Linked DNA regions of Oryzias latipes. Each later gene encodes a partner of the first gene's protein in a complex. Links are inferred from orthologs where the notes say so. Each region holds a gene or a part of one and is shown in the gene's direction. Other genes may lie near its edges.

The links.
Region 2: bag3 (region 1) and hspb8 share a complex: the UniProt entries of both Homo sapiens proteins name them as parts of the chaperone-assisted selective autophagy (CASA) complex. The link is inferred for Oryzias latipes from reciprocal best matches to the Homo sapiens genes BAG3 and HSPB8.

Annotation. Positions count from the first base shown.
Region 1 is NC_019873.2:29,851,698-29,867,025, forward strand, and holds bag3 (BAG family molecular chaperone regulator 3), read left to right. Parts: upstream 1-8,640; 5' UTR 8,641-8,717; coding exon 8,718-8,888; intron 8,889-10,147; coding exon 10,148-10,480; intron 10,481-10,744; coding exon 10,745-11,062; intron 11,063-11,142; coding exon 11,143-11,721; 3' UTR 11,722-12,742; downstream 12,743-15,328. Other genes in the region: tial1 (nucleolysin TIAR), read right to left, coding at 1-13, 89-197, 3,265-3,340, 4,806-4,893, 4,990-5,044, 5,151-5,249, 6,385-6,481, 6,799-6,827; inpp5f (phosphatidylinositide phosphatase SAC2), read left to right, coding at 13,913-14,009, 14,974-15,054. UniProt on the Homo sapiens protein: Co-chaperone and adapter protein that connects different classes of molecular chaperones including heat shock proteins 70 (HSP70s), e.g. HSPA1A/HSP70 or HSPA8/HSC70, and small heat shock proteins (sHSPs), e.g. HSPB8.
Region 2 is NC_019867.2:3,765,999-3,781,312, forward strand, and holds hspb8 (heat shock protein beta-8), read left to right. Parts: upstream 1-5,975; 5' UTR 5,976-6,152; coding exon 6,153-6,579; intron 6,580-10,361; coding exon 10,362-10,425; intron 10,426-13,758; coding exon 13,759-13,933; 3' UTR 13,934-14,806; downstream 14,807-15,314. Other genes in the region: srrm4 (serine/arginine repetitive matrix protein 4), read left to right, coding at 39-191, 1,729-1,993. UniProt on the Homo sapiens protein: Involved in the chaperone-assisted selective autophagy (CASA), a crucial process for protein quality control, particularly in mechanical strained cells and tissues such as muscle. Displays temperature-dependent chaperone activity.

The DNA of each region.
Region 1 (15,328 bases):
TGCTTCGAAACACCTGAGACAACAGCGGTTTGATGAACACGGAGCAGACACACGCCTGTCGTTTGTTGGTACATGTGTTTACACTCACTGTCCTGAAGACTTTTAGGGGCTGGGGGTTTACGGGTGGCCCAGTTGGTTCTGATCTGGCGTCCTCCGAGCCACTGGCCCGCCATGTGAACGATGGCGTTTTCTGCATCCTGCAAGTTTAAAGCAAAAACTTTCCCATCTGTAGTTTCACTTTCCGTACAAAACTGCAGCCTTAAACCCCTTTTTCCCATGCACCCAGGGCTCCAGACTAACTTTTTTCACTAGGAGCACAGTGGCCCCTAACTGAAAATTTTAGGGGCACAACCAGAAAATTTAGGGGCGCATACCGTAAATCAACATGCTAACCAGATCTACTAATTTCCACTGTATTACTAATAAAAACTTTAATAATATATGCAGAAATTACAATGTGCTGTTTCAAATTCAGTGTCACATTTTATTCTGCACTTTTGAAGATGCAACAAGAAGGTAAACTGACAGCAGCATCGCTGTCATGACAGTACAAATAGTAAACAAAATACCATACATTTAGAATAAAAAAAAGTGTTTAGTAACAAAGTGATTACCGTAGTAACCTTTCGGTCATTTCACAGTTTCAAACAATACTTAAATGTATGTAAATATTAGGGGATGGAAATTCATGTTGGTGACACCAAATAGGTGCAGCCAAGATGCACAATAATTTGAGATCACCCCGATGGATGCAACGCTGCACAGATCACCTGGTGTGTGACATATATTTTTGTTTTTGCTCCAACATCACCTGTCAATCAAAACAAAAATATCACCAGAAAGGGGCGGAGCAAGACCCCAACCTGAGCGAACGCAGCTGGAAATTGAGTACTGAACTGACTGAAAGCTGCCGTACAGACTACAAAACATTGCATTATGGGACATGTGTCCTGATGGATTTTTTTTAGTTCACTGATTAATTAAAATAATTTAAAATACCAACTGATTAAAAAAAGGCTACATCCATTACAAAACATTAAAATAATTATAAAAGATGTAATATCACAGATCATACTGAGGAGGAGAGGCATATTAAAACTAAATTGAATGTTAAGGACAACTCCAACTTCCTTTTGTCCTTCAGTCTTGCTGTAGCTTCGCCTTCATGCCCCACCCCCACCCCCAGGGCGCTGGTTCATCTTGAGCACGTCTATCGTTGCATTTTCCACACGTGTTTTAAATGTGTCTAAGACTAAATCATGTTTTCGCTCACACGTGTTAATGTCAGAGCCCCGTTAGCTGTCACGCATGTAGGTGTGGGACCTTATGCTCCTCAGCTGCCCCGACTCCCGCGGGAGCGGTGTGCTGCCGTAACAGCCGCGCACGAGAACCGTGGTTTGCTTCGCGAGTTTGAGACCCCTGCTGTACACTCTGGCACTGGTACACTAGCCGCAGGTCAGAAGAACGAATCAATAGTTCGCTTATTCATAGCTCAGACGCACATATGAGGTTGTGATGATATTTGTCTCCGTTTCCTTCCCACAGATTTTTACGCGCACTCGATTGTCTCTAGGCCCCGCCCCCTCCACACATTTTAGCCACTTGCAGTGACTTTCCCTATTCTTCTCACACGCATTGGTCGCCTCAGGCATCACTCAATGACACGCGAGTGTGTGCGTCTGTCTGCGCGTGTGTGCGCTCGCGTCTCATTGATTATTTCATTGATCATTGACGTGCCCCTTCCAAGTTTAATGTATAAAAAATACGGAGGGTGGGGGAGGCAAATTTACGGGTAGCACATGTGCGACTGGATGTAAAATTCAGTCGCACACTCTCAAATTTTGGTCGCAAAATGCGACCAATTGGTCACAGTCTGGAGCCCTGCATGCACCCATAAGAGGGTAGACCACTACGGGGGGTAGACCACTACGGGGGTTTGACCCATACGGGGGGATTGACCCAAACGGGGGACTGACCCATGCGGGAGATAGACCCAAACGGGGGATTGACTCAAACGGGGGGTTGACCCAAACGGGGGTAGACCCATACGGGGGTAGACCCATACGGGGGGTAGACCCATACGGGGGGTAGACCCATACGGGGGATAAACCCATACGGGGGATAAACCCATACGGGGGATAAACCCATAAGGGGGGTTGACCCATACGGGAGATAGACCCAAACGGGGGATTGACTCAAACGGGGGATTGACCCAAACGAGGGGAATACCCATACGGGGGGTAGACCCATACGGGGGGTAGACCCATACGGGGGATAGACCCATACGGGGGATAGACCCAAACGGGGGGTAGACCCATACGGGGGGTAGACCCATACGGGGGATAGACCCAAACGGGGGTAGACCCAAACGGGGGTAGACCCATACGGGGGGGGGTTGACCCAAACGGGGGTTGAGCCATACGGGAGATAGACCCAAACGGGGGATTGACTCAAACGGGGGGTTGACCCATACGGGAGATAGACCCAAACGGGGGATTGACTCAAACGGGGGATTGACCCAAACGGGGGATTGACCCATACGGGGGGTAGACCCATACGGGGGATAGACCCATACGGGGGATAGACCCAAACGGGGGATTGACTCAAACGGGGGATTGACCCAAACGGGGGTAGACCCATACGGGGGGTAGACCCATACAGGGGGTAGACCCATACGGGGGGTAGACCCATACGGGGGGTAGACCATTACGGGGGGTAGACCCATACGGGGGATAGACCCAAACAGGGGGGTAGACCCATACGGGGGGTAGACTCATACGGGGGATAGACCCAAACGGGGGGTAGACCCATACGGGGGGTAGACCCATACGGGGGGTAGACCCTTACGGGGGGTAGACCATTACGGGGGGTAGACCCAAACGGGGGATAGACCCAAACGGGGGGTAGACCCATACGGGGGATAGACCCAAACAGGGGGGTAGACCCATACGGGGGGTAGACTCATACGGGGGATAGACCCAAACGGGGGATTGACCCAAAGGGGGGTAGACCCAAACGGGGGTAGACCCATACGGGGGGTAGACCCATACGGGGGATAGACCCAAACGGGGGGTTGACCCATACGGGGGGGTTGACCCAAACGGGGGTTGAGCCATATGGGTGACACCTTGGGCCTGTCTGCTCCCACTGTACTCTTGTTATTACTGACCACATTATTTCTATTCCATAGACTAGAAAAGCCCTCTAAGGAGAATAAGGAAAAGAGCTGTGACCTTCAGGGCGAGCTGTTGCTCGGGGACTTACCAGTTTGTTGTAGAAGGACACAAATCCATACCCCTTTGACTTTCCGGTTGTTAAGTCCTTCACAACACGGGCGTCTCTAAAAGCAAAGAGGAAAACGACTCGATAAAGCCACAAATCAAACCTTCAAACTAACAGGAACCACGAAAAACACTGAACTGTGACTCCTCTATGCTGTCCTACAGTCATGTATTTATGCTAGCATGGCCTAGTTTACTGAGAGCACTGAACTGATAAATAACTTCAAAGAAACACTGAAGAAAACCAAAAAACAAATACAAAGAAATACATGCAGCCTAGGGTACTGAATACTCTGATACTACTGCATGTGTACCAGCAGAGCACCATCTTTGGCTCAATTCTCACAACAGTAAGCTATTGATTAATATTCACAAAGGAATGAATATGGATTACCATGCATTCTTAAAATCTGCAGTTGGTGCTCTTCCTACAGATAGAAATATATAGAGAATATTAGAAGAGAAAAAAGGAATTAAATGGCATACGTGGCCTGTTAACAGATTTCTTTATTTTTCCTGGTCAATGCTTGTACGGAGTTTGGGGAGCTGCAAGTTTTGAGAAATTGACATTTTCAGAAATTTTGGAAGAGGATCATTGCACTAGAAACAAATCAAAATGAGACAATTCAAAACACAGATTCAAAGGAAAACACGGATGACTGGAAAGTGATCATCTAGTTTATATAAAGTTATATGAAAAAATAGAATAAGTAGAGAAAGAAATCTACATCTGAGTCTGCAGTTTGCTGCTGTTAGCCTTCATGCTTCTGTACAATCCTAGAACCAAAGTGCTATTACACGGAGACGGACGTCTAAAGGCGGATCAGGTTCAAAAAGAAGAGCTGAGCGCTGTAGTATGGTTTACTTACCACACCCTACATGTCAAAGGGTCTACAAAACAAGAACAAACAACCAGCCAGGCGTGTTCTTCTTCAGAGGAGCCTCTTCTTCATGACAAAAGCTCAAATATGCAGCTCATATTCTGACATCGACCTTCAACCCGGTTTACATGCAATGCAGGAAGATGTTTTCCGTCAGAGCTTTAAAAATCCTAAAAACATCAAGAAGGTGGAAACGTAGCCTCGACTAACAAACGTTTTGGAGATGTTTAGTGTTCCAGTTCCACCACACAAACGCATAACTCTGTTATGAAAAAGCCTGAAATGTTTGTGTCACATGACCGCTCTGAACCAAAGCAGATCCAGGACGGATCCGTTTGACCAGACGGTAGGAAACGTCCAGCCGAACATGTCTTCATCCCATGAAGGTCCAACTGGAATGAACTCATTTCCCTTTGGTTCTTATGCTGAAAGAGGAGCTCCACGGGGCTGTCGTGTTTATGCCGACAGCAGACAGACAGTGCATGGATGGAACATGTATGTGAACTTAACCGTGACCTGATTCTATCATGCACACGTGTTCATAGACGTCGGAGTAAAGGCCAGCAGGACAGCCTCAACACGCAGAACAATACAAGTCCATTTAGGATCATTACGCAGAAAAAGAACTAAAAGAAAAACTTACGAGATTTTCCCAAACGGTGTGAAAGCAGCCCTAACATCTTCTGTGGAAATGTCAGGGTTCAGATCACCCACAAACACATGGAAGTGATCTAGAACCAAAGCAAACGGGTCAGAAACACTCCTTCCTGTTGGTTCACACAGCTTGACGTCAGGAAAATGATCTGTGGGTTTGGGTGCAAACTCACTGGAAGTGTCTTTTTTCTGGCTACTTGGGGTGGTGGCCCAGTTTACTTTGACTTCCTGCAGAAAGGAAGAGTTCACAATGATTCCCATCACAGGAAACTAGAAAGACATTCCTATTATTTTTTCTAGAAGCAACAGACGCTGTAAACATATTTAAGCGTACCTTTCCCAGAATCTTCCTCCCGTTCATGGCCGCCAGAGCCGCTGCAGCATCTCTGTGTTCAAAAAACTCCACAAAGCAGTAGGGATCGTTGCTAGTGTGCTGCAAGAAGAAAGATGAACCCCAACGATTTACAAAGATGCTTCCACGCTTTATCACCTTCATACGCAAATCCGTTTCCATGAAAACCGCTCTCACCAGACCTGAGACGTCACATTTGTGATCACCAAAAGGTTACATGCTTCACCTTTATCTTAACGTTTGTCTGGAAATAGAACCTACTTTTTATTTGTTGCCTTTTCTCTGCATCTCATCTCATATTTTTCCCAATCAAACAAATCTGAATGTGTGAAATCTGCTCCACAGAGCTACAGGGTCTAAAGAAAAGACAGTTTCTGTTTAGACTCCAAGAGAAAATCCTCAGGATTGATTTTCGTGCTGCAAAAATCTGCTTTTTCCACCTTTGACATCTATTCCTCTTCTTTTTATACATTATTTACATTTTTTCATATGTAGAAAAACAAATTAAATCAGATAGTGGAGAAGAAACTATTCATTGGTTATTCCAACCAGATCCATCTGTCAGGCGATTTATAAATCATATCGACCTAAACTATTATAAAATCATTTCAAAATGAAATAAATTGATTACATTGAAATTGGAAGATACCATCTGGATTGAGGTACAATAGATTTATGTGTCTCTAAGGTAAAACCGACCAATCACAGCAGACGACACACATGTGACATCAGTCCATCATTCCAGTCCAATGTGTGGACAGACTTTGAATAAAGTCATGTGACCATCCAGTGTCTAGAATGTTCTAAGAATGTTCCCTTTGGATTCTTTGGATGTGGAAAAACAACAGTGGTGAACTTTAGGAAACTAACATGTGAATGGATTTGACATTCATTCTAGTTTACTTGTTGGTTTGGACACAGATTTCATTTAACTTGATGATCTGGAAGAAATCCAAGAATCTGGAAAACAGTTCAGTAGCAGGAATTTCTGTCTGAGTCTCACTGCTGGAAGTTTGGATCAAGAGGATCTGGATCCACTTTAGGACAGAGGATCGGATCATCAACCACAAATTATATGAATGGAATCATTAAAACGAATCGATCCAGCCCTATGTCAGATACTAATACCAAAAGAAATCTGAACATCAACCAGTAATGCTCCATTACCTGCTAACCATGAGATGGTTGTGTGTTTACATGAGTTGGTGAACGGTACCTCTGTGATCATTTTGCAGCTTTTGCAGGGTCCGATCTGGGTGAAGAGCTGCAGGATCAAAATCTCGGTAACATCTCTGGAAAGGTTTCCGACGTACCTAAAGCACAGAGACGGGATTTACATCATTACCATCCAGTTAAAAGTAACATCTTTCTATGTTATTCTGCATTTGTTTAGAGTAAGGTTATGTAGATCCCGTTACACATACTTTCCATGAACTAGTAGAAAATATAAATATATATATATATATCCTCGTAAACTAAGTCTAGTCTTATTTCGTTCCAAGCTTTGCGGTTACATTACCGCCACATATAGGAAAGCTAGAACACACCGGGTTAACATTGACAAGCTAAGCTAGCCGATATTTCCAGATGTTAGCAAACACTATGACACAACCGGGGGAGGGGGGCTTACAGAGTTCTGGGGTGGCTTTCGTCGTCCATGATCGATGCTGAAAGTCACGTGGTCCTAAAACGTTAGCTGCTTAATACCTAGCTGTCATTTAGCGACACTAGTGTCAAATACAAAGCAGCTAGTTACCCAGCTCCTCAGATGCTAACTGACGGGAACAGAGCGTACGTCAGACCATGAGTGTTTCTCTTGCGCATGCGTAACAGCCTGTCCTACGGAAAAGGTGAAGTAGCCTAAATTTAAACCTTTATAACCTTTATAAGAAAATGCAACGTTTGAAAAACGAAGGTTAGATTTTCTGTATCAATCATCTATTTCAGGGTGACGCTATTAAACGGCAATAGAGAAAAGTCTTTTTTTCCCCTGACGTTACGTCATTTCCTTAGATTTTAAGCGGAAGTAAGGGTTCGCTTGTTTTAAGGACCCTCCTGAGACGATGCCCGTTTGTGTCAGCTATAACTGGAACAGAGGGGATTTCTGGAAGCTCGGGTCAGGTGTCAGCGCGTGTGAACTTGTTTTTAAACACCTTTCATGTTTTAATGTTCAGCTATCGAGTTATTTTTATTCTTCTGTTTAAACTCTGCTGTAATGTCCGGACTTGATGCTGTGTGCTTTATAAAGTTAGGCTTTGTGTAGCCTGTAGAGTTCTTTTTACAGATTTTTGACTAATCAGAATAATTTTATTGTCATTGTATATGGTGATACAATGTAATTGCAGCAGCCTTGGAGTGATGAAGATAAATAAAATATGTATTTAGTGTAAAATTTAAATGTAAAGAAAAAAAATTAATTCACACGACACTAATGTGATTATCCTTATAACAACAGTATAGTAAAGGGAGAATGGATTATTTTACAATAACTCTAACCCATAAACAGTTTATCCCAGTATATATGGTGAGTCATAAACAGTCTCTGACATGACCTTATAGAGTCACAGAAAGCTTAGCCTTATCTTTATAAAGGACATTATTATTATTATTATTAAGAGTTTAACTATTAATCTAGTTAATTAATAGTTAATTAATATTAATTAATTTCTATTTGTACAATCGAGTGGACCTATACCATTATAAACTCGTGTCAAAATCAATTAAATCAATATTAGAAAATTCCATCTGGATTGAGGTAAAATTAATGGTCACACTCCTAATTATTTATTAATTTTTTCAACATGAATAATTTACTCTCCTGTTTTGCAGCATTTGACATAATTTAAACTATTTATAAATAACAATGGTTTCAAATATCAGTTTGATAATCAAACAGCTGTTTGCTGCACATATTTAGAATGACTACTTTGTATGTTTTTAAATCTTTTAAAGTTGTTTTAAAGTTTAGATCCTTCATATATGTTTAACATAATCATTAGATAGTATCCACTAGAATTTAGATTCCAAAAAGCGGCTTTAATATGAAATATTGATGAAAGCAAATGTTTGTCTGGACTGGAAAACAGAGTAATGTTATAAGCAGCTGTCTCTTTGTGGGGGGGTTGTGTTTGAACCTTTTGATTTTTCATTTTGTTTGTAGATTTTTACTCATTTTTAATGATAAAATAGAATTGGACTAGTTTATTTAGTGACCAAATCTCATTGAACATGTGTTCCTCGCCGGAGGCACGCATGTGTTTTTGAACATGTTTAGCCCCCCCCCCCCGTCTGGGCTCTGATGGAGTCGTCTCCGCTGCTCTCCGGTCCGTCGTCACGTTTCAGGTGGAGCTGCTCTCGGTAAACCCTCGTGGGGGTCTCCGGCTTGGATCTGCAGCTCCGCCCCCCCCCCCCCCCCCGCCCCCCTTGCCGCCCCCACAGTTAACCCTGCTATTTCCAGAAGCTTCCAGCCCACTTCCCCACGTCACTCCACGGAGTCTTTAAAGCGCCCGCCGCCCGTATAAAATGTCTTAGTACCGGAGCGCGAGCAGCATGAGCGCCGTGCAGACACGCGCCCCCGCGCCGACCATGGCTAACAACGACAGCGACCCCCTGCCCCTCGGCTGGGAGGTCAAAATCGACCCCCAGACCGGATGGCCGTTTTTCGTGGATCACAACAACCGAACCACAACCTGGAATGACCCGAGACACGTCGCGACAAAGGTGAAGGAGCGCGCGGGCAAAGTTGCTTCCCCGGCGGGAAGCGCTCGCGGGGAATCTGCGTTGGTTGTTTCTGCGGAACATTGTATTGTCGGTGGTAACGGCTGATCGGTCCCGCCATGTCCTCGTGTCATCATAACTATTATTACGCGATGAGTCACCCTGCAGTATGTGGCGGCCGGGACGGGGGGGCCGTTTTCACATTAAGGTCATTTTCCCAGCAGGGACCGCGGCTGGGCTGCTGTGTGTGGCGGGGGCTGCTGGGCGGGCGGTCCCGGGCAGAGGGCAAAGGGTCGTTCCGGAGGAGACACCGACGGGGTACCGATTGTTGACCGTTTTCCTCCAGGTTTTGGTCTCCTTTGGTTGGGGAGGGGGGGGGGGCATCAGACCTGTTGCTCTCTGCTCCTTCACTTCTTCCTGACATCTCGTGCTTTTATTTTTAAATTCTCTTCCTGTCTGATCGGTTTTCATGGAGGAAAATAGTTCACAGCGGTGACCTGTTCCATAAAGAACATTCAAAAAGACAAACAGTTGGTCTCCTTCAGATTAAAAGTGCTGTCCTGTGTGATGTTGGCGTGTTGGGGGTCAGAGGGGGGGGGCGCTGGGCACAGGGACACATCTTCAGGAGGCAAACTAGCAGCTGCCGGGCTGGAATGCAGAGGTTGTTCTGGCAGGGCAGCGTCACTTTTGGCTGCTGGGTGAGGAAATGTGACCCGGGACGGAGAAGGCGGAACGTGGATCTGGAGAAAGCGGAACGTGGATCTGGAGAAGGCGGAACGTGGATCTGGAGAAAGCGGAACGTGGATCTGGAGAAAGCGGAACGTGGATCTGGAGAAGGCAGAACGTGGATCTGTGGAGGATTTCCACCTGCGGCCGGACGGTCGCGAACACAGACGTCTGCACAGACGCTCACCTGACGTCAACGGCCCAAAGCACCGTTATATTTGGAAAACACACCTGGAAAACATGGAGGCAGCATGAGACGGGGGCTTTGTGAGCAGCTGTGGTGCAGAGGTAGAGCGGTTGACTCTGGATTAGGAGGTCTCGGGTTTGATTCTGGCCTTGCTCTGCCCCCATCAGAGTGTGTAAAGCACTTTAGGCTTTAGAAAAGCACTATAGAAGCACAAATACACAATTATACAAAATATCACTGATGAATCAGTGGTGGAAGTCTTAAAGTTTTTACCTGAGATTTGTGTGTGTTTTTTTAATGAATTTAAAGGTTTTTTGGTTCTAAATTCTTTCCCCTGCCTATATTTCAGAGTAGAGAAGCAAACGGACCCAACATACCTCCAGAACAACATCCTAAGGAGACCCAGAAGACCTTTACCCGAGAGATGAAGCACCCGATTCTGCGGCCCGGCTACATCCCCATCCCCGTCTTCCATGAGGGCGCAGAGCTGCGGCAGCAGCCGCCGCATCCCTGCTGTACGTACATCCAGCCAAGCACAGCGCAGAGTGTCCGGTACGAAGGTCAGGCTCCTTCGCACGCCTCCGGACTTCACGGCAGGCCCAGATCGCCGTTACACGTGGCCTCAGACAGCTGCTCCTCTGAGCCCGGGAGGGCCAGCACGCCCACGCCGCCAACCACAGAGGTACGGGTAACATTTGGGTTCTTCACTGACAGCCACCCTTGATTACAGTGGGAGTTTTCAAAATAACGCATTTCATACACGGAGGAGATTGATTGACAAGGTCAACAGCCAATCAGGATGCAGAACATAGCGAGCTGTGAAGTAAAATGGAAATTGGCTATAAAAAGGTGGCCGGCGATCTAGTGAGGGACCAGCATGAGCTGAAGCGGGTAACATTTGTGCGACCAAACGTGTTCACTGCGTTCTGACTGTGTTGCTGCTCAGGTGCACACCGCCACACACCACCAACCGTGTCGACCCGGCAGCACCGGCCTCCAGGCCGGTTACATTCCTATTCCAGTCATCCATGAGGGCGGAGGGGGTCCGCCTCAGGTAAACCCCGCCGTCTACTCTCAGCGCGCCCCCTACCAGCGCCTCCAGACAGACGAACGGCCCGCCTACTCTGCGGCGCCGTCTTCTCGGGAAAGTGCTTCCCCGACGTCGCTGTTCCCGCAGCACCGGGACGCAGCGTCTGCCCGCCTCCCACCTTCGCTTAGGAGCCAGTCCCCGACGGTATCGCAGCTGCAGGCGGACAGACCGCAGGTGGGCTTTCCGGTCTTTTCCTTTTGCCAGCGTGTCCCAGATTCTGACATAAAACTGTAACTTTGTTATTTGGATCTCAGCAGAACCTCCTCACTAGAGACCCGGCCCAGAAAGTGGAGCAGGAGCTGCAGAAAGCAGAGAACCTGCCGGTTCCTCAACCGCAGCTCACAGAGGTGGACGCTCCACATCTGGAGCAGCCTCAGTCCCAGGAGCCGCAGCATCACGTTGCAGACATCACGGTTCAAATCCCTCCAAAAGCAGAGGTTCAGGACCCAGCCGGCCCTGAAGCCCCCCCAACCAGAGCAGAGGGGGAGCAGGGCGCCGTTCACCCGGGCTTGGCGAAGGTTCAGCAGATCGTGGGACGGGTGGCTTCGCTGGAGCAGGAGGCCAAGGCTTTCAGCGGGAAGAAAAATGATAAGAAATACCTGCTGCTGGAGGAGCTGCTGACCAAAGAGCTGCTGGCTCTGGACTCTGTCGACCCGGAGGGACGCGCAGATGTGCGGCAGGCCCGGCGCGATGGAGTCCGGCGGGTTCAGACCATACTGGAGGAGCTGGAACAGCTGGAGGAGCGGCCAGCCAAGCCCACCAGTGAGACGCCGGCGGACGGTGACAGAGGAGAGTCCAAGGAACATTATGTGACGGCCAAGGAGATTTTCTGAGGAGCTCCCGTTCAGGAGCAGAGGATGCCGGCGGACTCCTCCGCCTGAAGCGTTTGTGGAAGCTGCATGCGTTCAGTGGTCGTTTGTTCCTTCAGCACTTAACTGATGGTAGCTCAGCGCCGTTCGTTTTTGAGCCATCGTTCTCGCCGTCAGTGTCCTTGTAAATTTGACTGCGACCATCAGTGAGGCGTTGACGGCAACCGCTAAGCAAATTTGAGTTTGAAATGAGGCCTTTATTACAGCATCAAAGAGAAATCCCAGTATTTTCCTAACAGAGTCTATGTGTCGTTGCCTTTAGTCTGACAGGAAACGGTGTGACGCGTCTTCTGGTGGAGTAAGCACACGGGTCGGTGTTTGAGGGCTCATGATGGAGCCGCTCTGTCACAGAACACAGTCACATCTTTACTACATGCTGCTTCTTGTGTGCACTGCCTTTGGAGTTGTGTTTGCACTTTGTTGTCACTGAAACGTGTTGAGAATCAGCAACGCGTCTTTGAAGGATGATCATTTGAGTGAGTTTGGATCAGTCGGTTGACTTCAGTCCCACATGAATCTTTCTATCAGTATATACAGTATTTTGCTACACTTCTGAATGTTTATTGACCCACGGGGTGAAATGTGTCGTCTGTTTGAGACGGGAGACAATCAGCGTCGGCTGCTAACCAAACCGGCGTGTTACGGCGTCAGAATGTCTGTAGATCACCAAAGGTCTGTCGGAGTGAAACCGTGACGGCTTCAACACGACCAAACATTTGAGCACGTCAGCGTTACTTTTATGATGCCCCCCCTCTTCTGGTCCTGGACTAATAATCAGATTCTACAGGATTAGAGATTGTGGCTGATTGACTTTAGGATTTGATAGCCGTTGGCAGAAATCGAGTCACACTGGCTTTTCTGAAAATAAATGTTTCAAACACTTTGTTCCTACAGATTCTGCAAATTTGTTTTTTACTATATATTTTAATGTTTTGGTAATTTTGTGTGAAAACAACTCAAATAAAGAGATGAAGCTCTAATCGTTTCCTGCCTGTCAGATGCATTTTCATGTTCCCAGTGGGTGGAATATATTAAAGTAGATGGCAAAGCCGACATCACATCCTCAGAGACGCTGCAGCAGGAAGCATCAAAAAAACGGGCAGATGTCAGGATTAGAGCGGCTGTGAAAAGATCGATGGACAGATGTGTCCCAGCATCTCCACAATGCAGATATAGACATCCTGCATCAGGGACGGCTGAAGCAAAGGCCGGCCTGTGGGGTCTTCAGCTCACACCGCCCGAAACGTGAGAGTTTATACTGACGGGACCAGGTAGGAATACACAGCTTTCATTCCGCTGAACAGCAGATTTCTAAAACCATTTTCAGATATTTCACGTGATGTGGTTTCTCCATTATGACTTTTAACCTGAAGAGTTTTCAGTTTGAAGGTACAGAAAAAGATCTGAGATAAACCAAACGAATGGTGAATAAATGTGTAAAGTGTTAAGGTTAAATTTAAACACTAAGTGTGAACAGCTGCTGGCTAAAAACTGTTTCTTAGCAAAAAGGTGATTAAATTAGAGCCTCTTCTGAGGAGGCAGGGATGCCCATTTATTTTAGTCTGATTAGTTTACTTTAACCATCAGCTGCTGTATTTTATGACTGATTTGTGCTTATGGTGGTTAAATTGTGGTCTAAAGTTAATTTTAAAAATCGTTTCTTTTCCTTTTTATATCAACTCAACTTACTTGTTGGAATTGAAGGACTTCTTCGCCGTAGTTATTTTGGACAGAGTGAACTCATTTTTGCAGCTACTGCCCCCATATGTGGAGGTTGGAACTGCATTTTAAACGCTTGTTTTTGATCCACCGACCTGAGCGTGCGTGATGACGCCGCGAGCTGCTGGGGGCAGGAAACGTCAGTGACGTCGTGCCGCAGCTCCCACCCGGGACACTTTGTAGAGACGCACGGATGTTTATTTGCGTTCTCAGCGGCCGGGATGAGCGCGAGGAGGATGCCGGAGCACCCCGTCCAAAGCGCGTTCCTCGTGGGCAGAAAGGCAAGGAAATGACCGGCTAGCTTAGCAGGCTGCTAGCCGGCGCTCCGTGGGGAAAATTGGCTAATCGTAACTAAGCTAGCGACGTTTCACATCTGTGCCGCGAGCCCGACCGCGGGAGTGGAAGGACGGCGGATCTGGTGGATAGAAAAGAGGAGATGGAGCTGTTTCAAGCCAAAGACGAGTACATTCTTCAGAGCGGGGACCGGGCGCTGTGGTGCAGCCGGAAGGACGGCTCCGTGACACTCAGAGCGGGTTAGTTGGTACCGACAGCCTCGGCGCGCGCATGTTCGTTACGTGTCATTTTTAAACCCACATGTGTGTTTATATTATATAGACTCTTTATTAAGCTGCCGCTCAATCCTCAACAGTCTAGTGACCTTAACCCAGATCAGTCACCGTTCGCGGTGACTCACTGTCCGGTCAGGAGGAGGCAGGTTTGGGCGCGCGGAGCCGGGAGGCACCTCCCGGTACTTCCCGGCTCCGGAGCGACCTGCCAACACCCACAACAGACTCCAAAGTTCCCTCAGGGCTTCCAGGAGGACTCTGCTCTGCTCGCCAGTGAGGAAGAAGTCAGTCGTTAACGCCTGGAGACCCCAGACGAGTATCATTTTCAGAGACCCTCCAGATGAGTGGATCCTTTCTGGAGACCCTCCAGACGAGCGGATCCTTCCTGGAGACCCTCCAGTGGTTCTCCAGGTGCTGCAGACACAGAGGGGTTTCGGCAGAAGGCTGCTTCCTCCTGCCCTCCCTGGCGGTGCAGCTGTCCTGAACAGGTTTTTAGTTGCACAGCTGTTTCATTATTTAATTGGAAAACGGGTTTCCGCTGCTCACTGCTGCGCTTGGACCGCTGTCAGGAGCAGAGCCGTGTTTCCACTCCGGGGTAAAGGCCACCGTGCAAACGTTCCCTGCAGAAGCTGGTCTGAATCCACTCACTGTGGAACAGGAAGAGTCATTGTCTGCTGCCACTCCGGCTGGTTCGCCACCCAAACCCACAACCTTCCCTTTTCCAGTTTCCTACACGGGTTCTGGATGTTCAAACATCATGTTGTTGTGGGTGAACAGCAGCTCCTTTCTACAGACTGAAGAGCTTCTTCAAACTGTGTTGGTGTCATGTTTAGAACACGTTAAATCTTCTCTTCAGCACCCGCCTAGGCCGTTCTCAGCCTGTTGGGCTGCATTCATGCCGTTGATGTTTGCTCTCACGTTTCTGTCTCAGCCACGGATCTGCTGCTGGCCTGGAATCCGGTCTGTCTGGGTTTGGTGGAAGGCATCGTTGGAAAGATCCAGCTTCACACAGGTGGGTGGAACGTGGAAAAACATGTCCAGAGTTCTCTTTCATTGCTTTTTGGGTGGAACAGACGCGCTCTGGCAATGATGGTGCGCCTGAACGCATCATCGCCGACTCATTCCCTAATCTGTGGACGAGTAAAGGCGTTAAAATCTCTGGCTGTAGTTTGAGTGTCCTGATGACTCAGTGACTTTGCTGGTGTGAAACGTGATTCAAATATTTCTTTAATAGTGTTTGTGAACGTTTGGTCAGCAGCTGGTCTCTTCCACCTCCATGCAGATGA
Region 2 (15,314 bases), on another chromosome or scaffold:
ACTTCAGTATTTTTGTGGTGTAATTGCTGCTTCCTCAGACTTTCAGACAGAAAGAGACGAGCGGACTCCAGAGAGACAGACGCAAAGCACGGACGGAAAGTCAGGAAGCGAGGAAGGCGCAAATCCTACACTCCCATGAGGAAGAGGAGGAGGGACTCGCCGAGTCATCTAGAAGCTCGGCGCATCACAAGGTGCGTTGATTTTTTATTTACGCCGTACACTTTTTAGTTCAGAAATCACAGTTAGGATTATTGTATTATATTTTGGCATGTGTGGACTTTTGTTGTGATTATTGTTATTACAATTATTTGTGTTGTTTATTTATTTTATGTAAAGCCCTTCGAGGTGTTTTGCAAAGAAGAAAAATGTTCTTTAAAGTTGATTTAGACAAATACAGTTCAAACTTTTAGACTGCTTTTAACCATAAGGTTTGCAGAAAAAAAATCACAATGTGATTTACCTGAAACTTTACCGGAATCATATTTATGCAGGAATGCTAAAATAAATCAACTATGTGAGATTTTACAGCAACAGAAATCACGAAGAACATGAACATTTTCACAGAACTTTGATCTAAAGTAAGAGCAGCTCCAAAGCCGAGCCCCACTTGCAGCTGCCTGGGCCTCAAGGAGAAGCAATTGATCTAAAATATAGAAAATCTGGGTGATTTGGTGTCAACAGGGGGGGGTTCCCAATATGCTGATCAAGATCGATAGACCGATTGCGATTGGGGACCAACAGATAAGAATATATTTTTAAAAGTTGCCATTAGCCAATGATCATCCTCGCCATAAAGTATGTCGCTTGATTGACATGCAGACCACCCAATCAAACATTCTCTGACACATGCCTGTGTGTTTGACGACGCTGAGGGACAGATCCCAGTTTTTCTTCCTCCTAAACTTCGGAAAGGTGTGAGCGTTCAGTGTCAGACTCCTAAACGTGGATGTATTTGCTAATGCGCCTTATTCCAACACTTAAACAGAACCTCCAACAGAACGCACACAGAACATTTCTGTCGTCGACCCAGCGTTTGCTGGGGCGCCGTTGACATGACAACCAACACACAGGTTGATTTCATCAAGATATTAAAGGAAAAATGACAGAGGACTGCATTTAGATGCATCTAAACGTATCCCTGAATAATTTTTTGATTAACTTTAAATTCAATTTTTCATAAGAATTCTTGGTATTTAAGTATAGAAATATGATAAATATATATACAAAGGCCTATATATACCGGTGTGTGTGTGTGTGTGTATATATATATATATATATATATATATATATATATATATATATATATATATATATCTTTTGGAGCTTTAAAGTTGCTCTTATGCAGAAAAAGTGTTGGCACCCCACACTTCTCCACTTCATTCACCCGCGTGCTACCTGCTAAAACACACCTGATGTAGTAGTTCAGCAGGAGTTCACCTGAGAGGTCGTAAAGATCTCCTAAGCCGGTATGTTTGAGGAGGAAAACATTGAAATCAGGCAGCTGGTGGTTCCCAGGGACTGGAGATAAGAAACCCTGCGGTTTACAGGAAGTGGAAAAATGTTAGTTTGAAGCAAAACAAACAGGGCTTTTGGTGTTACTTTTTGGCTAAAAAAATTTGAATGGAGCTAGTTTTTAATGAATAGTTTAAAGAAGGAAAAGTTTAAAACTGCTTCCTCAGTGTGAGAATACTGAAAGTTAAAGCAGGCTCTTCTTCGTGTTTTCTTCAGTGCGAGGAAGAGGCCCATTCCTTATTTCCGGCCAAGCCCCCCCTCCAGCATTCGTTCCACCAGCGTGTCGTCCTGGAGCAGCATCTTCACTCGCAGTCGAAGCCCCATCCACAGCATCAGCCGCAGCCGCAGTCGCAGCCGCAGCCACAGCTTCTCCTCCTACAGGAGCTACAGTCGCAGCTCATCCTGGAACTCCTCCTGCGGGAGCCGCAGTCGCAGCCGCAGCCGCAGTTTGCTGATCAAACGCAGGAAAACGAGGCATTAGTGTCTGAAGCTGGGGAAAACAGTCCTTTTCTTTCTGCGTTTTGTTCTTGTTCTGCATCCTCCTGCATGAACGCTCAGCCTGAGACTGCAGATCCAAACGGACTCTTCCTGTATTTATTCAGTGCAAATCCATGTGCCAAACTGTTCATGTGTCTGCACTCTGACCATTAAATGATCCCGCAAAACCTTCCTCATGCTGACTTATTAAACATTTGATTCCCTTAAAAAATGAAAAGTGTTGGGTGAGGGGGGCTGCAGAGGGTAGTGTAGTGTGGGGGGAGGTAGGGGTGGAGCTGTGGTTGCCTCGTGATCTCTGGGCTGCTTGGGTCGGGCGCCGGGGCTGGCCTGCGGTGACAAGGCTCCGGCTGGGTGGTGGGCGGCTCCTGGGTCCTCTGGGCCCTGGCCTCGTCCTTGGCCCGCATCTCGGTGTCCAGCGCCCGGTGGCCCCAGTGGCTTCCGCCTGGTACAGCGGAGCACGCCTGTCCTGTGGCCTGGGGGTCCTGACGCTGGGCTAGCCTATGCCTCCCGGTGGCGGAGGGGCCCCTGTCGGGGGGCCTCCTCTGCACCTGGCTTGGGACGCTCCGGGTCCGGGGGTCTCCCCATCTCTCCTGGTCGGGCTGGGGAGGATCTGGTTCCTCTTATGATCACATGGTTCACTTTGGCAGGGTGCATGTAGCTCCACCCCCACGTGCACACTGCTCCCTATCTGCTTTAATCCTTTAATCCACAGTGTTTTTGATGGACATGGATATCTTCCACTTATCTTAGTGTCAGAATTTCATGTTTGGATGTAATATTTGCCTTTCTGCAGATCTAGTATAAATGTTTCACAGCTGAGAATCGTAACCTATTCAAATTAGCAATTTAGCACTTGTATCCCCTCACTTTCTCCCCCTCCCTCTTTATTTCTTTTTCTTCTACCCCCCCCCCCACACACACACACACACACACTTTCCCCCTCTCCCTCCCCTTTAATAAAAAGAATATGTATATATATACTTAAAACACAAAATGTAACAAATAAATAAAAGAATAAAAAAACAAAAAAACACAAAGGGGTTTAAACAAATTTACATCCTGGCTATCTGAAGATTCATAACCCCTTTTTGTAATAGCAAAACCTGTCCAACACAAAAGGACTTCAGCGCTCATCTGTTTGCTCAGTTGTTGGACAGAACAAGTTAAAAGAACAGGAAGAAAAAAATGAAAAGAATTAGACGTTTAGTTTGCTGATGTTGCAGAGGGAAGTCTGCGAAAAACACCGTTCAGGAAGGTTTTGACTCTGATCTCTCCACAAAAACAACCATGTTTTCTCAGCCTAGGTGGGCTGACACAGAGTAAACAGCCTGTCAGCTCAAATGTCAGATTAATTTATCCTCTGATCACATGGGGTGGGGGGTGTTGCTGAAATGTCAGTGCGTGTAATACAACAGAGAGCGGCCGAAGCAACATTTGAATGCAACCAGAGGAAAAACCTGCTTCAATGACTCTTAGACGGCTGAACATCTGATCTGCCTCAGGACAGAGCGGCCATGTGAAGGTTTTATGTACTTCTGCTGTCCACCACCTAACCCCCAAACTGTTTTTTATCTTTAAATCAGGGCAGAAGCAGAGGGCTGATCCTGATTTTACTGGAAAATAAACAAAAATCATAAACAACATGAATATTTTTACAGAAGATCTATCCAAAAGACTAAACAAGAAGAATTCCCAAAGACATGTGTTGATATTTTATTTACACATAAAGTTGATATGATCATTTAAAATAAAAAAAAATAACGTTTTTGTTTACCTAATTATTATAAACATAGACGTTATCAACCTGCTCTAGTTTGCATGGAGGTTAAAAAGTAAGATTTAACAAATTGAGGCTTTATGGATGCAGTTATTTGGATGAAGAGTGTATAGTTTTGTAAATGTGACGAGATTCATGTTAGATTTCAAACAAGTTCAAAATTTATCAGCAGTCAATTGAAATAAAAATGAAGATGGGAAAGTCCGGCGACAAGGAACGCTGAAACCTTTCTCAGCTTTCCAACAACAGGTGAAAAGTGACTCCCACATTTGTTTTCTTTTTAAATCAGCATTTTTCAACCTTTTTTGAGCGAAAGTTTACTTTTTTTTACAGCTCAAAGTCACACTGAAGATCTAAAAATAAAATTACAAAATTGAACCTTCTGTTTGTGTTTTAAATAAGAATCAAACGGAAATAAATGATGTTTTATGATCTTTTAAACTTCTACCTGCATCCTTAGTGTGAAACCTGGCCCTGTGTGGATGAACACAGAGATGGTATCCTGGCAATGATAACTGTTTTTCAGACCAAACAGGTGAAATTGAAAAATGTCCACTGGCAGAGTCACCATCTCTTATGACGCCACGCTTGTTTTTGCAGCTTTTCACTGCTCCCCATCAACCATAAAAAGATTGTTTTTTTTTGTAGATCTGTGTTGTTTAAGTGTTTTTCCAGTTGTAGTTATAGCAGCACTTTCCTTCCTCCTAAAGTAGGTGGAGTCTCTGCACTTCACTGTGTGGCTTATTACGAAATGAAACAGCAAAACAAGTAAATGTCCTCACAGTGTGGATAAACTGCTATTCACATGCTATACAGCGACCTCTCGCTATATTGTGGCTCACCTTTGCGGACTCACTGTTTTGCACTTTTTACCAGTACAATATTTTAAGTGTGACCAAGCACAAAAACGGACGTAATCCTTGTGGCTAAGCACATCACTGCATTGCCCGCACATATTTTAAGTGCATCTGAGGCTAAATTTTGTGGTCGGTAGCAGGTATTTTAAGGGGTGATTGATAAAACACGCATGGATACCGAGTGGCACAGCATATATCTTAAGTACGGCTATATTAAACCACGTATTTTCAGTGTTTAAAATAAGTGTGGCCAAAAAAAAAGTTCAGCACTGGCCGCCCAACATGTATCTTAGAATTACGTGCCAATGGTCACTTTCTTTCTTTTTTTTTTTTAATACAGCACGCTGTGTTCTACGTCTGATTGGCCACAGACCATTGTCAATCACTTCTCACTTTTTTCCCTTCCTTTGCTTCTTCACCTCAGTCCTTTACAAAGTCCATCTGCATTCATATTGCAGTGAAAATGTTTGTGTTTGAGGAAACTGAGGTTTTTGTTTTCACTTGTTTGATGAGGTGACAGAAGACAAACTCTAGTCTTGACCAAACAGCTCATTGTCTAAATACTAAGTAACATGTTACAGGGCTGAACTTTCCTTTTTTTCTCTCTTTATCAAACATATTTAATATTAGCAAGAATACAGATTTGATAGAAAAAAGTTATTTTAGCAGAAAGAACAAAACCTTCAAACACATGAATTTTCTTATCATCTTTTAGTAGCTGATGTGGTTTAGGTGATTTATTTATTTAACAGTAATCAAGTCTGAAACTAAATTTACCTCTAAAAATATATAATAATCCTATGGAGTCATATTAAGTTTCCATTGACTATTTCACTGGTGATTTCCCCTTCATGCTGATGCATCTTTGGCTGCATGTCACTGAGCTGTTTAGTGTCTGATGCGTCATCCTGAAAGTCTTCATTCGGTCACTGCAGGTGGATTTTCTGCATCAGCAAATCTTCACGAAGAAGTTCAGGTGTCACTTCTTCAGTGTGACTTCAGACCTGCAGCAGCTCTGAGTTATCTTCTATTAAAACATGATGAGTCACGGGGGGAGGGTCCTCCCCCAGCTGCTGCGCCTCCACTAAAAGAAATATTTACATCTACCGGGAATGTTATCGTTATTTGGAGTACTTTCCCTCGTTGCGTTCACGCACGTAACGCTAGACGTTAGTTTTGATTAAATGAATGTTATGTAATTATGAATGTTATGTAATTGTGAAATTTTGAGGTTTGTTTTTTTGTTCTGGGTTTATATTTTTTACAGCGTAGGGCCTTTCGAGGGCCTCCCAGCACTTTCCTGCCCCGTGAAGCCCCCAGCTGGGTATTTAACCCGCGCTCCGTGTCGATGTTGTTTAGCGGATAGGCTTTTGCGCGTAACGGGCGGTACGCGCGCTCCAGATCAGATAAGGTTTATCCCCCTCCCGAAGAAGTACTATTTTTCAATAAGGAGAAAGTTCTTAACCAATCCATTTCCAAAAAGTTTCTGAGTTTGTGCTGAAGTGGAGATGGCAGAGGGAGACTTTTACACCATGGGAAACCGGCAGCGCTTCCCCAGAGATCCGTTTGAGTCTCCGTTCAGGGATCAGTCTCCCTTCAGAGATCAACTGGCGTCCCGTTTTATGGACGATGACTTTGGGATGCCTCCTTTCCCCGAGGATCTGGGCATGGACTGGCCCGGGTGGGCTCGGCCGGGCAGGTTAAGCTCGCGCCTCGGCGCCTCGCCGTTTGGCACCGGTTTACGCACAGGCTTCCCCGCGCGTCAGTCGACGGGGGGCCCCGCGGTTTACACCAGCAGCCGGTACGGAGAGCCCCAGTCCCGGGGCTCCCCCACCAGCTGCGGCGGGGAGCCGTGGAAAGTGTGCGTGAACGTGCACAGCTTTAAAGCAGAGGAGCTAAACGTGAAGACCAGGGACGGGTTCGTGGAGGTGTCAGGTGAGCTTTCAGCCTGAATCAGAGGGCAAAACTTTGAGGGTCCATTCTGTGACCCTGACCTTTGAGTGTTAATGTCTCATAACTTTCAATATGTTAATGATTAATGATCTGGGGCCAAAGTGCGCAAACCTGCTGCATCTAATGTTAAAAAAAAGACACTCTGACTCTGTTTGCAAACTAACGTGCAAAACATTAACAACTAAAATCATTGACATGAAGTGTAAAAGTAGGCCACGTCTATCACTTTTAAGACACTGGAGCCCCCATCTTTGTTTCCAGGATGTTCAGGCTAAAAATAAAACAACACTCTTAATTTCTTCTCCAGCTTTTTCTGAATGTTTACGTAATTATAAGATAAAAAGCACTAAACTAAACATGTTTTTACTGAGAAACCAAAGCAGCCTGCTCTGTCTGGAAAATCTTCTGAATCTTCAGTTCAGGACAGATTTTGAAGACTGTCTGGAACTTAAGTTGTGAAGCCGATACTTAGGCTTGGACACCTGTTTTTGAATTCTTGGAAAATCGCTCCCTTAGCTGCTCATGAGCTCGATTTAGATTTAGGCTGGAGCAAGAATGTTCTGGAAGGGGCTGGAGCTTCTTCCGAGTGTAATGGTGCAGGATGCAGACTATAGCTGGATGAAGATGTGGAAACGCTTCCTCTTCTCCAGGCTCTTAGGGTCAAATTATTCCAAGGCTTCCCTGAGCTGAAGAGGGCAAGGAGGTCGGAGAACCTCCTCCTCTCACTCAGCTCTGGGTTTTTTATAAACACGTCAGTGGGATGCCAGCTGGGGTTGGCGCCATTTTGGTCCTTCCTGCCACAGTGGTTCAAGTGGTTCTAAAAGTGTGGCAGGGAATGCATTCAACCTAATTAAAGGTGTCCAACAGCTGAGTGAACAAATGTTGAACACTCGAGTTTTACACAGAAGCACAGAAGACAAAGCATTAAGGAGAAGAGAAACACAAGACCAATCAAAACTGTGGAAATTAGATCAACTCTGACACTTTTACTTTTGTTTTGCTCAAAGAAAATCAATTGGAAGCTTTGAGGCTTCAGTCTAATAAGGGAGAAGGACACTTAGTGGCATACAGATGTCATTACATTCCCTGAAGTGTGCAAATGAAGCATGAGAATTTTTTGGAATTGTTATTATTTTCTGAGTTTATAATAGATTCTCATTACATAACTATGAACCAACAGAAATTATATACAAAGTTGCTAGAAGTTTTTAGTTTTACAAAACTAGACAGTACTGTTTCTAAAACTCCTCCAGACAAACTGATGCCATTTGGATTAAAAAATAAAACATGTTGGTTTTTTGTTTATTTTACTTTTAACAAAAAAAGAAAAGCTAAGCATAAATGCAATAATAGACCAACTGCAAAACATGATCCATTTGACCAGCTTGATGGAAACGACTGAAACGAACTGCTGGAATGTTAAGATAACCTGAGAGATCAACAAAACCTCTCACTGAGAGGATAGCACGGCCCGTGGAACGTATTTCAAAGTAAAAGCATTTATACTCACAAAGCCTCTTTCTTTATTCAATTTGCTTTTTTAAAAACTGTTTTTAAGTGTTCAGTCTTAGACAAGATGAAGCTCAACTGTTGGAAGCAAATGTGAGCATTTTGGAAATGCATTTTTTAACTGTAAAAAGTATTTGATTTCTTCTTTTAATGTAGCTGCACATCTCAATTGATTAAAAAACATGATTACCATTTCAGAAATAACCAAATTAAAACAAATATTGTTTCTTTTGTCTGTGGGGAAATGATGTCCCACTCCATTTCAATTGAGACACATTTGAGTGGTACAGCGTGAGCTGCTGCAGGGTAAACATGGTTTATGTGGCTCAAAAAGGATGACAGCTGCTGATTTGAAAAGTTTGGTTGGCAACAGCTTCTAGAAGACTGTTAAGGTCTCTGCAATGGAGAAGCATATTGATCCAAAAGTGCAGGAAATTGCAGAGCTTATCTGCTTAACAACTTGGGCCTTTGAAAACAAACTTAAGGAAACTTTGATCAAGGGTTAGCTTTTATTTCATGAATAAACGTCTGGCTGGATTGTAGCTTGTCAATAACCTTTTAAGAGACTTGACACAGTCTGTGCTGCTCTGAGTTGAGATGTGCTAAGAACAAAAAAAAATGAAGATGCTTTCGTTTTGCATCTTTAGATCTGCTTGTTCATGTAAGCAATAAGCCAGGAGCTGCGTTGTACGGCCTGCAGGCACTATGCACCCCCCCCACCCACAGCCTCCTCCTGACTCACCCTGACCGGCCGAAATTCTGCCACCCAACCCCTCACTACCACCCTTCTGCCTTCAGAACTGCGAAAATAAATTCCTAAAAACAAAAAAACTTTTTTTCAAAATGGGAGCTTTTTATTGGTTTAATCTCCATAGCAACCACTTTATTTTTTTGGTCACCTGGAGGTGATAAACAGTTCCATGTTATTTTTAGAAGAATTGGCAAAAGTAAAATTTGGGATTTCCTTTGCAACAGAGATTTTTTGTCAATCACGCTCACGTTCCTGATATGTTTGTATTGTATGTCACAGTGTTTTTTTATTGTTTTTATTTTTTTTCCAGCTTGAGCCAACAACTTATGTATTAAAATGTAACAATAGTCTGGTAAAAAATGTGTGAGTAACAGGGAAACGCCACTCTTGCAAGCTTGCCACTCTAATGTCTTTTTCCTTTTTAGTTTCCCACTGATGCTCGCGAAGGTGATAGATTGAAAACTCTAGGAGGAGTTTCAAATTTTAGAAAGTCGAAAGGGATTTTTTTTTTTAAATTCAAGATGGCGGCCTCTTCCAAAACTCAGCGGAATTTGGCTGTGGATGTGGACTTAAACTGGCAGTGCGTGTGTGAAATTTAGTAAAGATTGCTTGAACAGGTCCCAAATCGTGGGAAAATCGCCAAATTCACACTTTGCCACAAAATGACCACCAAGCTGTCGGTCCTGTACCATAATAATTTTAAAACTGCCTTTGAATATCCCTTACATACATGTTTGGGTTTTGTTAGTGGATTTTGAAATATTTCGTTTGGGCACAAAAAAAGTTTTGGGGGGTTTGTTGAGTTTTCGAATGTGGCCGGGGAACATTTTTGCTCCGAAGCAATAAGAAAGAAGAACTGCAAAAACAATCTGGTCTTTGCTGTTTTCTGCGTTCTTCCTCTGAAGAACAATCTTAATTTTGAGGTTCGCTGGGGGAAAATCCTTCAGTGATTTCATCCTCTTCTTCATGAAACAAAACCACATCAGGAATTTGTCATCCGCTTGTCATGACAGCTTTCAACACCAATGGAGACGTCTTTTTGTTGAGCTGCTCTCTGACCACACCTTTTCAGGAAATGTCCACAGGGATCAGCTTCGCCCATGAAGTCATGCTGGAGTCTTCCCAGCAATCTCACATGGCAGCCTCCTCTGCAAGGCCTCTGGTGAACTCCGCCACACAGAGCCGTCACTCAGGGGGTGTAATGTATCACCCTGACGGGGCTGGAGTGCACAGAAAGGGGTCATAGGGCGGGGTTGGGTGCACTTTTGTCCACGGCGTTGACGTTTCGCAGCCAGGGAGCAGCTGCTTCCAGGGTGGAGCAGCAGAGATGTATTCTGAGCTACATCAACACTTCTTTTAAACGCGTCAGTACGGCAGATTCAAACCGTCACATGAGCCGTCGCGTGCGCCAGCACAGCTTAGTCATTGCATCCAGTTTGACCTCCTGACCTCTGAAGTGTCTCCGCCCATCTCCTGATCTGCATTTTCTCTTTTTTGCTAACAGGAAAACATGAAGAGAAGCAAGAGGAGGGCGGCATCGTGACGAAGAACTTCACAAAGAAGATACAGTGAGTATGATGGCAGCTGCGGATTACCATCCGTAAACCTCAGAATCCATGAAGCAGAGATTTTTCAGCTCAAGAGAGTCTCAGATCATTCCAGACCTGTGTCTGTGGAAATATGTAAATGTTTCTTCAGAGTTGGTTTTGCAGCAGCATCCGTGGAATTTGATTTCAAGAAAAATGAAACAGCATTCATTAATTTCTAAAATGTCCTAAAACTTTTACATTGTGGGGTTTAATATCTTTCCAGAAGTCTTTAAATCTTGCTAATGTGTTTATAGACGTTTGTCTGTAAAACCTGCCAGACACGTTTTTTTCTTAGGGCTTCTAAAGAAAGAAAATATTGCTGCCAAACTGGCAAACTCACGCAGTTTTTATTGTCTTGTGGGTTTTTTCCATGATGGGGCAGTTCGGCTGACCCGATCGGAATGGGCAGCGATGCAGATAAACATCCGCCCATGCAGAACAAACCACCTGGAGAAATCCTGCAGTTCCAACAGCTGCTCACATGGGGGCGATGTTGCCCAAAATGAACTCTGATCAGCATTAGAAAAAGACTATAAAGGAAAAGTCAATTTAAAAGAATCGAATAATCTTTAAAAATGGATTTCATGAGCTAGCGCTAAATTGCACATTGTTACGCTAGCTTTGTAGCTTTCAGCGTTACAGCCGCTGTCCTATTGTCCTGTTGTAGAGCAAAGTACTCACATCCAAACTTTACATGTTGTATAGGTAGAGGGAAGATCGGAAGTGAGCTACTTTCACACAGCCCCCTTCTTCTGTTTTTTTATGATGATCATTTTTGGGAAGAAAGGCAAGAACGTTAGGGCAAACTTTCAATGGAAGGAGTGGAAGTAGCTTGAAAAAGACAGGATTCACCACTTTATTATGTACCAAAAGGCAACATGGAAAGACACAAAATAGAAATGTTCAGGCTAAATACATAAGATCTAATAAAAGGGTTTATCCATCAATTTTTAGGGTTTATAGAGCAAAAAAAAAGTTCAGTATTTAGGCAGAAAGGATGTTTTTATGTCAGGTTCACTGTTCTGTAAGACAAGACTTCAGCATTTGTCTGTAAAATGGCTTGTTATTTTCAAATCTCCTAACTGGTGTTGTGCGATGGTATGTGTGTGTGGTGTGTAGGACCGAGCGTGTCAGCTACACACATAAACACAACCTCACTCCACCCGTGGCCTTCATGTCTTGTCTTTCCTCAGAACCCCTGCAGGCTAAAAGAATATCGGACCATTTTCTGGCAGCTGTACAGAATCAATGCTTAAGATAAACTGTGCGCCTGCCAAACTTGAATGAAACTCCCCGAGCTGTCTGCTTAATGACCACTCTGAGTGATTTGACTGTCAGAAGAGCCACTTTGCCTCGCAAAAATTGGTTTATTGAAGGAAGCTGATTAAAATGATCTGGGATTAATGCCGGCTCTCAGCGACAGTAATCGCACCATAAGATATTTTCTGTTTTGCTTATTTTTTCAACCGTGTTAATAGTTTCTCTGTGATCAATTTCTTTTTCCTGTAACTCTTTGTCACATTTTCTAATTTTATTACCCCTTAAGGGTTTCCCATGTGGGCTTCAGGACTAACAATTCTGTTATGCCCACAAGATCCTAGGTGGCTTAAGGGGATTGTAAACACATCCAGCTCCTGCTGGTCAACTGTTAAGGTTCACTCAAAATAATTTTCATTTAGATTGCAGCTAAATATTGGAAAAGTTTGTTAAATTCCTCAAAAAAATAGTTTTTTTGCCCTGCAATGGGCAAAGGGCAGTAACGCTCCTTGAACTTTCTTAACTCCACGACTGTTTATGCAATTCATGTTATTTGCATCTTCAATTCTGATTGCGCAGCGATGCAACCCTTTAGCTTTAGTGAAATGTTTCATGTTGGCATAAAGTATTGCACATCACCCAAGTTGCTTTTCTCAGCTTCAGAAATTCTTAGAATTGCGACAGTTACGTCAGCAGTTAAAAAGCTACAGTAATTAAAAGAACTAAGTGTTAAAGAATTAGTCTGTTTAGAGGATGGATGGATGGATGGATGGATGGATGGATGGATGGATGGATGGATGGATGGATGGATGGATGGATGGATGGATGGATGGATGGATGGATGGATGCATGGATGGATGCATGGATGGATGCATGGATGGATGGATTAGACGGGCATTTAAACAAAACTGCATTTGTAGCTAAATTGTCAAAGCTAAAAGTAAAAAAAAAACAATTGTGTAAATCTTACAAATTCTCCTCATATCAAACAGATATGATCAGATGTTTTTAGAACTTATTTTGATGTAAAAACAGAGGGGAAAACACAACAACTAAACGTACTGTAGCACGTTTTTCTTTCTAGTTTTTACTATCTGGAAGCAAAAATTGACTCTTGTTTTTTCCTTTGTACAGATCCTACCTCAGTAAAAAACAGCAGGAGTAGAAAAGCAAAGTAAAAAATCTCTTAATAAAAAAAAGGTGATGTTTTACATATTTGGTGTAAAGCTAAACACTAATTAGGAGAAATCATGGAGTAAAAATGATCAGTAAAAATGAGTTTGTTGTAAAAATATTTGGCATAAGTTCTGTTTGTATTAAGCGTGTGGATCTCCAGGTACACTTAACCCCGCCCCACCCTTCAGATACTTTGTTTAGATGTTCCTGCCTGAAAAGACGTTCTTTAGACTCACTTTTAGATGAAGGAAAATTTGATCAAAACTTTTATGACTTTTCCATTGATATTCCACATTTGTATGTCTTATTAAAGTGAACTGTCTTCAGCAGATGTCTAGGTCTGCCTTCTCCCATGTTCCTCAGCTGACTCTGTATTTCACAGAGGAGTGGGAAGACGGTGGTGGAGGCTCCCGTCTAATTAAAAGGAGTTCAGTCCTGCAGCCTCCTCCTCTGAACATGGCAGCCTGCTGTTTATATGAACTCCGAATAACACTTGACTGCTCACATAGAAAGCCCGCCGTGTCCTTATTTGGCTGCAATGCTGGACAGAGAACAGCTTTTGTTCTTGTCTGTGTGTGGGGGTCATAATTTAAATCTGCTAGATCAGAATCTTAAAAACCCTTCTCACATCTGAGTCTTTTTTTCATTTTGTTCATCTCAGATCAAAAATAACATTCAATAAATCACAAAAGAGGCAGAATTTATATATATTTTTTGAAAATTTCAGCGATAAAAGTAAAAAAGACGTGGAGACCTACCTGCGTGGTTTTGTCTTTTGTGTCTCATCAGAACATTTGTGGATAAGCCAGCCTTCTCTGTCTAAAATGCATGGAAAATAAACATTGTCTCTCGTTTTATTGTCTTTTCTTTAATCCTCAGGATCCCCACAGATGTAGACCCCCTGACAGTGTTTGCCTCCTTATCCCCTGAGGGCGTCCTCATCATCGAGGCAAGACAGACGCCTCCATACTACCTTGTCAGCGGCGAGGACTCCAAGGAAGGCGAAAAACCAGAGATGGAGGCCCCCAATCCCGAAGACTCTCCTGTCGTCTAAACCCGCAGTGCCTAATTTATCGTCATGAACCATTAGCTACAAATGTGACACTAAACACACAGCTTTATGTTCATTTCAAACAAAAAAAAGCCTTTTTCTGCTGTTAACTGTTAAATTATTTTTCATTCCTCTTTAAGAACAATTAAAATTATGATTGTCTTTAAGTTTAATGCCTTTTTTTTGTCCCTTTCTTGTGCAAAAAATTCAAAAAGTGTGTTTTGAAAACAGGCACGTCTTCATAAAAGTTCAGAGTTTAAGGTTTCTCCTGAGAAAGCAGCATCTTAAACAAGAAAAGCAGAAAATATATCCTTAGAAATTGTCGGCTCTAATCAAAATTCTTTCAACATTTCAGATCTCTTAATCTGTCAACAGAAAACATAGATAATGTCTTAAAGCACACTTCAAAAATGAGACTAGTAAATGAAAGAAAAAGCATATGAACAAACCTTTGTTATTTTTCTGTTTGTGACTAACACATTTAATGGGGTTTACAGTGTGAGAATGTAAACAAATCCATGAAAACAAATCCTTTTTTTTTTTTAAGAAAGTGTTGAAATTGTTGCAAACAGAAGAGAATCTAACATTTTGTGTGTTGATGTAGTTTGTGGGACTGACTTCTGCGGGATTTTTAGCAATATACTAAACCACTAATAATGTTTATGTAGTAATATTTTAAGGGAAAATGAAGGGGATTTTTGTGCACTAACCTTTTTGAATGTTTAAAAATAACTATGTGCCATCCAAATTTATTATTGAATATTTTTGATTTTATTTTTATTACAGCATAGAAGTTGCTCCAGGATTTTTTTGGAGAAATTGTTACCTTTTTTGATGTCTTTGTACTGAATGATGCAATAAAAGAGTCTGCCAGTGTGTGACGTGTCTTTGGCTGAAAAGCCGCCTCCAGGGATCCGGAGGGCCTGTGGGGGGGCTGGTGGAGAACAGGAGGAGCTGGGCAGCGGCTCAGCGGAGGCCTTAATGCTGCTGCAGATTAGTGCCGCCGCACGAAAACCGACTCAAACAGAGAGAAGCGTCCAGAGCCGTCCACGAGGAGCAAGAACTGAGGCATTTCCAGGCGCTTGTGTGATGCAAAATAATGTAATCCTGAGCTGGAATCATGAGGGAACATCAAACGATGAGAAACAAAGACCTCTGAAGGTTTTGGTTTACATGATGTCAACTTCTCTCCTTCTTTTAATTTAAAAAATGCTGTAAATTGTTTAGTTTTTTATCAACTGAAACAATCTTAATCTTAAGATCTGGCGTGTGCGTGCGTGTAATGGGGTCGGGGGGTCAGAAACAAAACAAAACAAAATCAAGTGACATGATATCTGCTTTTACACATGATATGTGAGAGAGGGTGGTGGCCAACTGCAAGAAA